Linked DNA regions of Nothobranchius furzeri. The protein of the gene in region 1 binds, or shares a complex with, the protein of each later gene. Links are inferred from orthologs where the notes say so. Each region holds a gene or a part of one and is shown in the gene's direction. Other genes may lie near its edges.

Region 1 (6,967 bases):
GACATGGAATCAGTGCATTTCCTCTAAAACAGGTAAGTAACCAACCTAATCAATTTAATATTTAAAATTCCCAGAGAAGCTTGTGAATAACTAAAAATTTTTTTATTTTAACAGCTACAAATCAGCTCGACGTGTGGCTGGGATGTCGAGTTCTGATACCATGTCAACGTGTCGGCACCCGGTGGGATTCTTTTAGATGGGTTTACAAGGAGAATGAACATAGTCGTGCAGCCCAATTATACTTTCTAGATAAGACAGGATTGACACTGTATGCCTCTAACCGCAGAGCCACTGTTTCAAATGATGGCTCCTTGATCATTGATGATTTTAAGGAGAAAGATCAGGGCATGTACTGGTGTGAAAAGTGTGACAAAAACAAATGCGGAAGTGATCAGTCGGACATCTACAGAGTGCAAAAAGGTTGGAACGACTGTTCTTTTCACAAATCTATTCATTCCTTCGCATATTTCTATTTCAATTTCTGATATTTTTATTGTCCTTCTAGAAACTCTGAAAGAAATTCAAGAGACATCATACATCACTGCAGGCAGCAGCTTCATGCACACATGTCCGGGGGGTTTTCTGGAGCTAAAATGGACTTTTGAAGCAAGCAACAAAACTGCCCAAGAATCCAAACAGATTCCAGAAACAACCGTTAATGTTGTTAATGTTAAAGCTGCAGATGTTGGGAAATACACCTGCTGGGCGAGTCGCTGTGGCGGTCCGAGTCAAAAACAGCTTACTGTTAGCTTATGTGTGGTAGAAGGTAAGAAACTCACAGTAATCTGCTTCATTTGTGAAAAATAAACAAGATTTATGTTAAAATATACATATTTGTTTGTTTTGTGGCAGTAGTACACCACCGTGAGGACTCCTCTCTGTCTTGTTTCGTGACGTGTGATGTGGATTCTGAAACTAGAAAAGAGACTTCAAGGCTTCAGGTGGACAATACGATAATATCAGTGGACGTAGCTCCATCTGGGGTTTTCGTTTGTACGGCAGGTCAGATTTTGGACAATAGCACGACTGTTACCAGCACTTACACATCAGCATCAGCAGTTTTAAACACATCAGCAGGCGAGTGAATGCCGCGACCCTCTTTTTTAAATTCTAAATTAAAATTAAACAATTAAAATAAACATATTGTTGACTCTACAGGTGAATCTGAGGAGACTGAAAACACGTTTCCAGCCATTTATGGAGTATCAATCACTGCGGCATGTCTAGCTGTAACAGCACTCGTGATTTTTTGCTTCAAATCAAGACTGCAAGCAGGTAGGATTTGCAGCTGTAGGTTTTCGTTGAGACTTCCTGTTTTTTGTAATTTACATATAGATTTTAATCATGCACAGTGGTTTGCCCTTCAACCTGATTCTCTTTCTGTCTCTCCTCAGCATTTCCGTTTCACAGCTCTTGTTGCGGATTTGGCAGCAAGGTATGATGAGTATTATAAAGTGTATGTATGAAATACCACATGTGATGTTTTGCTAAGGTAATTAATGTCTTGTTTTATGCTGCAGGAAGAAGAAGAAAACCCGACTGTTATTTATTCTTCTCTTGTCATCAAGGCACCTCCCGCAAGAAGACATAGATATGCATGTGAAACTGACTGCATTTATGGTGAAATAAAAGTGTAGTAGAAACACACCTGGCAGAGATGAAAGCTAAACTGAAGAGTTAGTGATTGTAGTTTCCACACTGTCCTCTGATTTAGTGATCAATTTGTCAACAACTTCTAATATGATTGTATGTATAATTATTACTCCCACAGGGTTGTGGAGGTAAAATCTAAAATTTCTCAATTTTTGCCCAAAATAAATAAATAAATAAATAAATAAATAAATAAATAAATTTCTACATTTAAAATATATTTTATTTTATACATACTCTTCCATAATATGTTACGATATATTGCTGAAATGTGGATACATTTCTCATTTTGCAGATTTTGAATTTATGAATAAAATAATACAATTTAAATTTTAAATGTTTAAAAATTTCCAAAGACAATGAAGTGAATTTATTTTTAAGAAACTGTTCCGATATTTTAAAATGACGTTCTGAGAAAGAGTTATAAGCGATTAAAATATGATCTGATGAAGACAACTGAATAAAATCATAATAGAGAAACAGATTAGTTGTGACTGGACTGATTATTTTTTCATGATTATTTATAAACTGTTGGATCATTAATTTACTTTCTGCAGTTGCAGAATGAACTTCATTTCTATTTTTATTTCAGGAAATGTGGAATATTAATGCGAAGATCCTGTCATTTCGTTTGTGCACCGTAGTTTTTAGACATAGATGTTGTAAAACCGTCATTCTCCAGTAGGTGGCAGCAGAGTGTTATCATAGCGGTTGTAACGCGCTTCAAAAACAAGCCAAAGAAAGATGCTCTCGTATTTTTGATGCATATTGAATGTTTTGTCTAATCTCCACATGCGTGGGTGGTTTTATTTTGACTACGTTTCCTCCATTTTTTACTTGAACAGCTGGAGTGACTCATTTGTATGTTGCTGACGTAAAAACTTGGCGAACTAGCGGTTAGCTAACGCTACATGCTAACCGGAAGAGGCTTACCGGGTCTTTAACAAACCATTACGCCAACATTTATTCTGGTTTACCTTAACAGGTACGGAGTAGCATTCTGCTTTATGGCTATTTTTCATGTAAAAGTAGACTTTTTGGGGGAGTCGCAAACTGTATGAATGATTTAGCTTAGCAACATAATTTAGCCTTTTAACTATTAGCTAGCATAACGAACAAGTTAACATCATAAGTAGCTATTTACATTAAGCTCTGCATATTATCAAGTAACAGTGAGCCAGCATGCAAAGTGTTGATTAAAATAAGTTTAGAACCACCTCGACCTTTTTCTTAAAGTGAAATATTTAGCTATTTATTAGCATGTTGAGCTAAGCTTACTGACTGCTTTTCTTTTTAAATTGGGACAAAAGCAGATACCTGAGAAAAGATGGAGGCCCCTCCTGTTACCGTGATGCCTGTGACCGGTGGGACGATTAATATGATGGAATATTTGTTACAAGGTGAGTTAGTGAGATACAAAATAAAAATAGTCTCCCTGAGTGCTTTTTAAGTACACAAGAAAAATTACTTTTCAGACATTTCAACGTTTTATACAATTGTCAGTTTTGCATTAGTGGCCATATGTAGTATTTTATATCAGCTATTATGTCAACAATGAAAGATGGATGACTGTTAATGGGGAAAAATCTAAATTGAATTGAATAGGCTATTAATCCCAGGGGGGACATTCACTCTAGAGCAGAACATACGCTTAGAGAAAAGGAAGAAGAAAAAAATAAAAACAAAAGTGCAGGTACATACACAACGGCAGTAAGCTATTATTGTAACCTTCAAACCACTAAGAGCAACAAAATAAAAATACTAAATTGGGTTTCCAAAGATGTACAGCATAAGGAACACATATTTGTAGGTGATAACTAAGATTTAAAAGATCTTCTACCATAAACTGAAACTATCAGTTATTAGTCATTTTATTTTTACTAATTTGTAAAATCTCAGAATCTTGTTTCTGCTTCCATGAAAGCATAACTGTGGAAAAAGTCCTCAAAAGCTGGATTAACCTCTAATCTGACAGTTTAAGGAAACGTGTTACATGAAAAACATATTCTGATGAAGACTGATTATAGAATACATGTTTTATACCTTTACTGTTTCAGATAAAGTTTGAGTGACATAAGATGTTTGTTTTATTTTTGAATTATTCATGTTAGAAAATGATTGCTGTTATTTTTCCTTCAATGAAGCATTATTTTCTTTGTTTTTGTTGAATCCAGGCAGCGTGTTAGATCTGGCTCTGGAAAGCCTGCTGCATCGCCTCCGTGGTCTGTGTGACAACATGGAACCCGAGACTTTCACAGACCATGAGCTGGTGTACCTTCTGAAAGGCCAGCAGGGAAATCCTTTTATCCTGCGTGCCCGGCGCGCCCTCTCCCACCCAAATGCTCCATGGCATCTGCGTTATCTCGGCCAACCTGAAGTGGGAGACAAAAACCGCTACGCCTTGGTACGCAACTGCGTTGACGTGGCTGCCTCTCACAGCCTTCCAGAGTTCCTGAACGAGATGGGCTTCCGCATGGACCACGAATTTGTCACCAGCGGCCACATATTTCGCAAAGGAGCTATGAAAGTGGTGGTTTGCAACGTTTCTCGGGTCCAGCTACCAGGAAACACGGAAAACACAGAGCGAATGTCAAATTCGCACCTAGTTGAACTGAGCGTGTTGGCCCCTGCTGGCCAGGACACGGTTTCAGAGGACATGCGCAGCTTTGCAGAGCAACTGAAACCTCTGATTCACCTGGAGAAGATTGACCCAAGCAAGCAGAGACATTAGAAGTAGAATTCAGACTAACATGGACTCATTTAATGTAGCTACTTTTGTTTAATTGTTTGTTTTTTATCTTAATAGAAAATAAAATACTGCTCAACTTTTATTCGAGAGTTTTATTTGTTTTTGAATTTGTTTCACTATCTAAAAAATGCTTCATTTATTCCTCATGTTGATGAAAATTATAGTGTATTAACAGCTAAAGCTATTTATTCAAAGAACCTTTTAATGCTTTACTGAATAAGAGGTGGTTTTTGCTGTGGACGTTTTTCTTTCCGTCCACTAGGGGTCTCTCTTTCTCTTGTCTTTGCCTTGATTGGAACAAATTGAATGCTACCTCTCATCATCTACTGGAGCTGTGGTTGCCATGGAAATAATTAGCTGCGAGATCTGCACATCTTTTACCTCATTCTAATTAGCTTTCTCAATTGCTTAATGATACATAGACCTGTGAAAGCCTTCCTTTCTTTCCCTCAACAAAAGCATTGATTTTCGCTCCCTGCCCCTCTCGTTTCCACTGTTAACCCATTAGTGCCCCTTTTTCATGGGAAATTGAACTGGAACCATTACACATGAAAGCTCCACAGCTGCCTTGGGTCCTTAACTGTTCACGATGAAATTGGAAGAAGAAAAAAAAGAGGGCTGTATACTAGTGTGTCAACATTATGGCCAATTGCCTGCAGAGATGGAAGTAACTAATGCACATCCTGTCAGTTATGATAATAATGTTGGCAAAAAAGACATGAGTGCTTCTAATAATACCCTTGCAGGAAGATGCATTTGCTGGAGTTGAAATCTAAAGTGACCATGTGCATGTCTGAGAGGAGAGCTCCAGGGCCGATGGCTGTCTCTGCATGTTGACCTACCTGCATATCAAGGCTGATGAGGACGAGCTCACTGAGGTGGAAAGGTGAGGTGACATAGTTTCCGCATGTTTTTTTTTCTTTGCACATTGAGCATCGCTTTTAAACAACGTTTCTGGAGATTTTGTTTATTTTTGATCACAAACTGGATCTGTGCGTGATTGCATCTAATTTTAGGTTTGCCCACTTGTTAGACAAAGTTTCCTCTCTGTGAGTCTGGGCTATCTGATGGAGACAGATTTATGTTCCAACAACCAGAAGCAAACTACTGGCCCTTAGGACTAAAGCATGATGTTTCAGCTCTGAGTGAATTATGTATTAAAGAGGCAGATGCCTCCTTGCCTAAGGCTTTATGTGTCCAGCATGGATACGCTACAGTCTACTGGCTTTCTTCCACTTAAAAGTTGTGTTTAGCACAGTGCTCTGTGGTGATGAGCTGGAGTCCCACTACACCTCCACTCTGCGATGCCTGGAGAGCGCAGGCATAGCTAGGCTAATCAGTGTCTTGGCATCAAGCCTGCTTGGCTTTGTGGATGTTGCCAACCACTGACTAACCCAAGTGAAAGACTCAGCTCTGCTGAAGACAATTTGGTGTGCTGCAGAGAAGAAATCAGGAGAAACCTTCCTTAAGGTTGAACAGGATTAGCTTGGCAATACATACACTTAAAATAATAAGTCCACATGAATAAGTATGTGTTAGAGCTACTACACTCTAAGAAATGAAATGTTAAATTTATGTAAATAAAAGTACATGTATGTTGCTCTTTACAATTAAGCAACTAGGTTTAGTGGAACCAGCAAAGTCAACTTTTCATTTCTCAGAACATGTGCAAAATAAAATGCACTTAAAGCAACAGTGGATAATTTTTCCCGTTTCTCCTTCCTACTGGTTGAAAGCAGAATTACAGCTGCCGTAAACAACCCTGCTGCAGCCTGCTGTAGCTAGTGATAACAACAAGCTAACGTTAACACAAACCAACTGATACTAAATAAGCTACGACGTAAAAAGATTGTTGGACAAAAAAAGTGTCTTACAAGCCCAGTCACAACAAAGTTAGGTCATCATCAGTCCGTGGTTTCATAGCCTTTATTTAAAAAAATGCATGTGTGAATCAACAGATTGACACTTGTGGAAGGTCAGCTGACCACGATGTAAATCCCTGCTAGCTAGCTCAAACAAGTGTAGGCCGCGTTTATGATCACTCTGGACTTAGCTCTTTGCTTCACCTCCACCCATTAGTCTCTTACGTTTACTGCCAGGCTCTGCCATGATGGGAACAAAAAGGAAGAAGCAAAACTCTTCTTACTGCTTCCTGACAAACTGAAAAAGCTAGCTGCTAGCCTTTATATTAGCTACCAGCTCAGTAAATGGCTATTATTATAAAGCAGGTTGAGACCTCCCACTAGTGTACCTATCAGAATCACTAAACTGTTAAGTGGTAAGAAGACCGCTACAGATCAGAGTCAACTTGATTGTAAGACGATGTTCAGTATGAAGTTGCTCAAGTTTGTGGCTCAAGAATCACTGAAACCAGTTTGAAAGTAATAAAATTAAGTGTTAAAATCTTGTCAGGTTGCTTTAAAGGTGTGGAACACTGAAAAAATTATTTTTGATTATTATGGTTCTCTCTGAGTTTTTCATGCAGATTAAACATGAAAATAGTCTCCTATGCCTATTTCCTGTATTAGCTTCTTATAGAAAATAGTCGGTGAAACTCTAGGATGTGAA
Region 2 (7,175 bases), on another chromosome or scaffold:
AACAATGAAAATCAAGTCTGGTAATAACCAACTTGTACGTAATGACCATAAAATGGCCAGCTCAGCACTTCTAATATATTTTCTACATTTTCTAGTTATTAATAATTATTGATATTAATCAATATGCTTTTTATGTATATCGTCCAGCTCTATTGGTGGTCACAGATAGGTTAATCTGATCTACCGGGATTTGAACCTACAGCCTTCTGTAAAATGTACAGATAATAAAACTCTCATGTTTAAACCACAAACATAATGCCTGTTCTCTACTTTCTTATTTCCATTAACATTGTGTTTAAACTGATTTCTTTCATGATTTTATTTTCTCTGTAGCTTCTTATTGTTTAGATCACTTAACTACATGACCCGTTTGTCAGAACGTTACTCTCAGTTATAACAAACTGAATGAACCAGTGGGAAAACCGGTCCCAAATGTACTGATTCATAGTTTAACCCACTATGGCAGATGCTTTGATCCAAATGAGTTAGTCTTAAATGATATTGCTTACCTGTGTAAGATGACTCATGAATCATTTAAATAGCTAAACTCTCCCTTGTTTCATTCATGTCAAACATGTTTTCCTGCATCAGAATTCAGAACATTTACAGGGATGATGCAGCAACTCCTTATTCGTCTTTACCTCTAACTGTTTAATCCTCTCCTCGTCTTCACATATTCGGTCCTCATCCACCTTTATAGCTTTCCTCATCACAGATGCCATCTCGTTGATTTTGTCTATGTGCGCTTGCATTTCCTGCACAGATCAACAAAAAATGATTAGAAGATTTTACATTACAGTTATTAAAATATGAATTAGAAGAACAAAGGAAACCCGAGTTGCTGACCGTGGTGTGCTGCTCCTTCAGCTGAGTGACGATGGCGGGGTCATCCCTCTTGCTCGCCATTAGGAGCCTGAACACCTGCTCCCTGTATTTAGTCATGATGAGCTCTATCGCAGACTGGTGTTCCTCCAAAGATGTTCGGAGCTCTGCAGAAAGAGAGAACGCATGTTTGGTTGGCTAACTATGACAAAGTCATTCTCAAATCATGGTATGAGAGCTCCCTCTAGTGGTACGAGGAAGACATTTTAGTAATGGTATAAAAAGGTAAGTAGGCTAATTATTCACTCTTAATTGGACCATGGCAGCAAGCTAAGTAAGTGACTACTAATTACTGAACAAATGAATAGGGAAATGCAGTGAAAAATATTTTGTAAGGATTTTAAATAACTCTAGTCGATCTGTATATGTCTATGTAAATAAATTTTACCTTAATGATGTCTCTGGATATTTGTAAAAAACATTTTTTCTGCCCAAAAACATTTCAGTGTTTGTAAGCAGTGTGATTTGACAAAAGTAAAGGAATGTATTGTACCGAACAGGAAGCAATCACCATGAGTATTAACACTGAAAGACTACCTTTGTTTTCCTGCTGGAGTTCTCTGATCTGACGGTTCTCTTGTTGGATTCCCAGAACCAGACTGGAACGAGGCCGATGTCGCGCAACCTGGTTCAGTGCATCAATCTCTTCCTGGTACTGTCAAATGTGAAAAAATAAATAAATAACGAATCAATAAAAAGCTTCGCCCTCAGTAGTTATGTCCTGTAAACTAAACAGCAGTCAACGCTACGGTTAAAATATTCCATCATTCTTTGGAATGCACTTTACTTTCTTCTTTTGCATTATAGAGTGTTCAGTTATAGAATTAGTAAAATGTGACCCCTGGTGGCACTAAGCTAGTACCCAACAGCACATAAAATAGGAAAAAAAAAAATCACATACCGTTTTTATAGCCTCCACTCTCTTGTTGAGAGATGTTGTCTGTTCAATTAGCATCTCAGCGGCATTGTCGTGGTTACGAAGCCTTTCCACTAATGATTTGGCATCTGCCAAGACCTTCTCTAAACTACAATTCATACCTAAGGAAATACAGAAGCATAAAAACAACTTATTTTTGATTATTCAACAGCTCTGACTTGTTGGTATCAATTTATTGAAAATAAATATAATTAATGCAATACACTACGAATACATGCAAACAAATCAGTCCAGTAAGTACTAATCTTTATTTCTTCAAACTCAGCTCATTCAAAGATCTGTCTACTTCTATATTAGTTGTTCAGAATCTTTTTACAGACAGCCACACGAAAATACATGAACTTTCACTTCACCACACTCTGTAAAATAATAATAATTCACCAGAACGATCGAAATGAGCCATGAATAAACGTTTCTAAAGCTAAAGAACCTAGCTTGAACCTTAAGCCTCCTCGTAGGTGATAGCACGCTAGTTTACAGCCAATAATGCATTGATAGGTCATTTTACTCTAATAAGAGTTTTATTACTTAACATATTTTGCATTTACTGACACAATTTATCACCACAACACTTCATTAATCAAATATAAACTACCGAGGAGTTCATAACACCAACCGGCTGCTATAACTAAACTTGTAAGGTCCACAAAAGGCAGCAAAACTGACAAATGTGTGGTCATACCTGAAGAGTTCAAAGTACAAAACCACTTGGGTTGAGTTAGCTTCTTTACTTCCTGTTGTTGTTTGGTGGCTAACACTGGCTAAAAGCTGACGTTTACTCCGGATTAGATGCTTTGGCGCGTTCCCATTTCCTTAAAGCACGAGAGTAAATATCGCTAGTCATGAAAAAGTCGATTTAAAACCTATCCACATTACAAAAAACCAGCCGTGGGACGGTCACAGCCATCGCTTCAGCTAACTCGAAGCCTCTTGTTTATTTCCGCGAGACGTTAAACTCTCGCGAGGGTCACGTTGGGGAGTTTTTTATTTTATTTACGGCAACATGGCGGATAGGCTAACGCAACTTCAAGACGCTGTCAATTCTGTAAGCAAAACTATTGAAATATCCCGAAATATAATTATTTTCTACGTCAATAGTTATTTTTTTATCTTACACAATTACAACAAATGGATTTAGATAAGAAATATTTGCAGAATTATCGTTTCAGTCTTTTAAATGTAGCTAATCGCTAACTTGCGAGTCTAAGGTTTAGTTAATTTACACAATTTATCACAGCTTTTATGTTTTAACCAATGAACATGGCTTGGTTTAACTGGTAATGCAACTATCAGACTATACTGGCTGTTTATCTATTCTATATTCTTTTAAACAAATGTCCGGAGTTTTAAAACCCGTGTTTGTTTTGTTGCGTGTGAACAGCTGGCTGATCAGTTCTGTGATGCCATCGGTGTTCTGCAACAATGTGCTCCACCTGCTTCCTTCAGTAATATTCAGACAGCAATCAACAAGGATCAGCCAGGAAATTCAGCCGAAGGTTTGTAACTTCAAAGCAAAATCTTTATTTAAATCTCTTTTCTCCCACATTCAGCTAGCCTGACCAGTCATGCATCCTTATGGGAAGCATTAGTTCTCTGTGTAGAATTAAACAGAGGACGAGTCTGGCAGGCCAAACATGCTCACATGCCTGGTGGAAAAATCACTACCAAACTCTCATGGGTTATTTATTTTCCTATTCGAAGAAGCCACAATTTAATAAATTGTTTCAAAAAGGGGTTTCGGGGTTTAATTGTATAAAAGTAAAAATGCTAGTCAACAAGTGAAATACTATTTCCAGGATAAAGTTAAAACGTCAAGAAAAATGTTGAAATTTTAAAGAAAATTGTCAAAACGTCTAGGAAAAAAAGTGTTACCATTTCCAAAATAGCCTGAAGAACTGAATCTCAACTGTACCCTGCCCATCCCCAAAAGTGTCACTTTGTAATATTTAGTTGGACTGCCCTTCACTTTGATTGCTTCTGCAATGTCAAAAGAATTATTCCCATCCTGAGTTGCATTCATTTTTTAATGAGGATCCTGTAGAGATGTTGAACAATCAAACAGTTTTAACAATTGTCATCGCAAAGATTGTCATTGGTGCTCATTGGGTCTGCATCGATATGCCCTGATCTCTTTCATGGTTTGATCCTGATGAATTGTGGAATTGCCATCTTGAGGTTATACAACCTATTTGCCTTGTTAAATCCAGAAGGGATTTATTTTGTTACAGGAAGTGTTGTTCCCTTTTAACTAAAGGGACGTGTTTGCTGAAGACCCTTATTGTGAAAGACTGAAGATCTCCGAGTTCTGCTTTAACAAAAGGAGTTAAAACCTGATATTTAAAGGGACTTTACGGAGTTTTGAATTTTTATGCTAGCGATTGCCCCCTCAGGCCAAAAGTGTAATGGCAGCTTCAATAGTAGGCTCGTGCACGAGGCGCGCATGCTGTACGTGCACACTCCTTTACGAAAATAACAGCTGAGACAGTCCCTTGTGTGTGTGGCCCGGAGGACAGAGGACAGGAGAAGGTGCAGCTAATTAAATAATTTGGTTCTGTACCTTTCTCTTCAGCACAGCCGACAAAGGTTTAAGATGGGTCAGTCCTCCTGCATGCTCAGATCATTCCCTTCCCTTGCTTGAAAAATTGTTCCAAAATGAAAGTTGAACCCACATCTTTTTTATCTGTGAATTCAATGCCGTTCGGCAAGTGTCAAATAAAAATTTGGGCATCTTACTGCAAAAAAATATACCATTAATGTAATGTACATCCAGATTCGAACTCGAGTCTTCTGCACGAAAGTCCGTCGTCTTACAAGGCGAGCTAAAGCGCCAGTGACGTTCCTTGTGTCTGTAACATTTATATCCTTGATGACAGCTGAAACAACGTTCAAAGAACAGTTTGGAGGGCTATGCCTGAGCGTGAACACGGATGAAGCAGCCTGCTCGACCCGAGCAGCTCTCTTTTTCTGTGATTTTACAGAAAAACAGGCAATCACAGTAAAAATGCCAGGGCTCATTCTACAGGACCAGGGCATTGCAGGAGAATGTATGAAGAAGAAATTTATTATTTCTATACATGTTTTGGCTGTCAAACTTCCATAACGTCCCTTTAACCAAATAGTTATTTTATTGAATAGTTTACTGGGTAAAACATTCCTGTAACCGTCGGTTACAATGATGATAAAACTGGAACAAATGCAGTCTGATTCAGGGGCACAACAGGGTTTGTTTTCTTTTTTGGAAGTTATATTTTGATATTTTTCAAATTAAATTGTAATATTTTTCCTCAGTATTTAGACGTAATTATAGATGTTTAGAATTTGTTCCCCACTATTTAAAGATGGTTTCTACTTTTGTCTCTTGTCTTTTCTCAATGTTCTAGAAATAGTTAAGTGTTGATTCTTAACCTTTAAACTTTTTTTTCTTCATCCTGGAAGAAACAAGCTGACTTTGTCATCGACATTATGACTGTAATCTTGAATTTTTAAAATACTGTTGACGTTTGTCTCGACATATTGACTCATTCTTGGGATGTAGCCTTTATTCTGGGGGGAATATTTAGACTTTTCTTGTCATTTGGAACTATTATGTCGACTGTACCTACTTGTTTAGTTGCAGCAATGGCACTAACGCTCATTGCATTCCCTCATGTGTGTTTTCCCTCTCCTCTAGAATATGCACGGCTATTTGCCGCTCTTATTGCCAGAACAGCCAAAGATGTAGATGTACTGATCGACTCTCTGCCCAGTGAAGAGTCCACAGCAGCCCTGCAGGTCGGCACGCTCGCACTCACTTCACTCTTGCTTCCAGTAGGAGCTTCAGATCTGCCTGCATTTATGCTGAAGGAAATCATTCAGACTTCTACTAAAATCACAAGGATTGGTCTCTAAGAGATACCGACTCTTTGAGTTTAAGAAGTTTTACTGAAATAATGGCTTCACTTTGATCTATTTTAAAAAGAAGAGACCCAGTATTATTGTTCATGTTCATAAGAAACACATTTATTTTATTTTGTTGACCCAGAGTGTTACAGCTTTTTAATGTTATGGCCGTTAAAAACACTAACCATCATTTTTAGAGTTTCAGATTTATTTATTTTGTATTTTAACATAACTTTTTGTTTAGTATCGAGATCAAATGACCCTTTCAAAAATTGTTTTGAATTTTTGTAACTCAAGAGAGATGAAGCATTCTGAAGTTAAACATTCTGCTTGACATGCCTTAGGACATTGTTTTGAAAAAGACCAAATAATTTAACAGTGAAGATGGCAGCTGAAAAATTCTGCATCAGATGTTTTCACAGCAGGCAGTGGCACTTCCAGGCCTTTTCCTGTGGTGACTTGTGCACACCAGTGCTTCACAGCAGAGGGTTTTGTCCAGTGTCAGAAACAGACAAGGACAGGATGGTGTGCGTTGGCATTTGTGGGAAATGTTTCAGCTGCTAGGCTTATTATCATCACACTTCTTCACATGGTAGTTTACTAGTAGCTGAAGACTTAGTTCTGGTTATTGTGTGAAGAGCACTGAGCTTGCTTTTCAGGCAGCAGGGGGCGCCACAAGAAGTTTAGTTTTCCATCGTGAGAGCTCTAGGATCTGCTGAAATAGCTTACTGATGTCAAAGACTGGAAAAACAGTTTCTGAGCAGTTATGTGAATTATTTAATAACATTCCTGTAAATGCTGCGTATTTAGGAGCATTGTTGGGGCAAAGCACTTCATGGGCATTAGTAAGTTTAAGTTTCATACAAATATTTTTCCATTTAAGTGAGATTTGTCTGTTTAGTTTTTAGACATCTTTTTCCTTATAGTTTAAGATTGTTTTTTTTCTCCCTATGCTGAACAGCGTGAACTTTATTTATAAAGTACTTTTAAAAGAGCAAAACTGACCAAAGTGATGAAAACCAAAGAATTGGACGTCAAGGCAAAAGGACAACAGTAGATTCAATAAAATTGTTAAAGGATCAAATGAATAAATCATACTTATCAAACATAAAATCATGTCATTTTAAGAAGTCTTACACATCATTAAAGCTCATTCTGAGGTAAATGACAGAGCTGTGCTCTCTTCCTTGTACCAGTTAAAAGTCGTGCAGCATTCTGCAGCAGGCTTGTTTTATTACAGAGTTGCATTGGTATTCTTCAAAATCTCTTCCCTTAAGTAGGTTGATCATTATCCATTAAAAAAAATGCAAATTAGTCTCACAGTGTCTACTTAAACCTGCCATATTTGATGCATCTGGACCCCTGTGACATCCTACCAGGCGGCCAGTCTCCGGCAGCTGGAGGAGGAGAACCACGACGCGGCAGCTCGTCTAGAGGAGGTGGTTTACCGCGGTGATATGCTGCTGGAGAAGATCCA

Evidence for each region. The genes of interacting proteins can lie anywhere in the genome.
Region 2: med18 (region 1) and med21 share a complex: the UniProt entries of both Homo sapiens proteins name them as parts of the mediator complex. The link is inferred for Nothobranchius furzeri from reciprocal best matches to the Homo sapiens genes MED18 and MED21.

The regions. Positions count from the first base shown.
Region 1 is NC_091745.1:72,039,930-72,046,896, forward strand, and holds med18 (mediator of RNA polymerase II transcription subunit 18), read left to right. Parts: upstream 1-2,350; 5' UTR 2,351-2,635; intron 2,636-2,960; 5' UTR 2,961-2,977; coding exon 2,978-3,050; intron 3,051-3,824; coding exon 3,825-4,381; 3' UTR 4,382-4,481; downstream 4,482-6,967. UniProt on the Homo sapiens protein: Component of the Mediator complex, a coactivator involved in the regulated transcription of nearly all RNA polymerase II-dependent genes.
Region 2 is NC_091741.1:59,845,462-59,852,636, forward strand, and holds the start of med21 (mediator of RNA polymerase II transcription subunit 21), read left to right. Parts: upstream 1-2,772; 5' UTR 2,773-2,822; coding exon 2,823-2,864; intron 2,865-3,200; coding exon 3,201-3,315; intron 3,316-5,489; coding exon 5,490-5,590; intron 5,591-7,077; coding exon 7,078-7,175. Other genes in the region: fgfr1op2 (FGFR1 oncogene partner 2 homolog), read right to left, coding at 642-755, 847-989, 1,420-1,537, 1,784-1,918. UniProt on the Homo sapiens protein: Component of the Mediator complex, a coactivator involved in the regulated transcription of nearly all RNA polymerase II-dependent genes.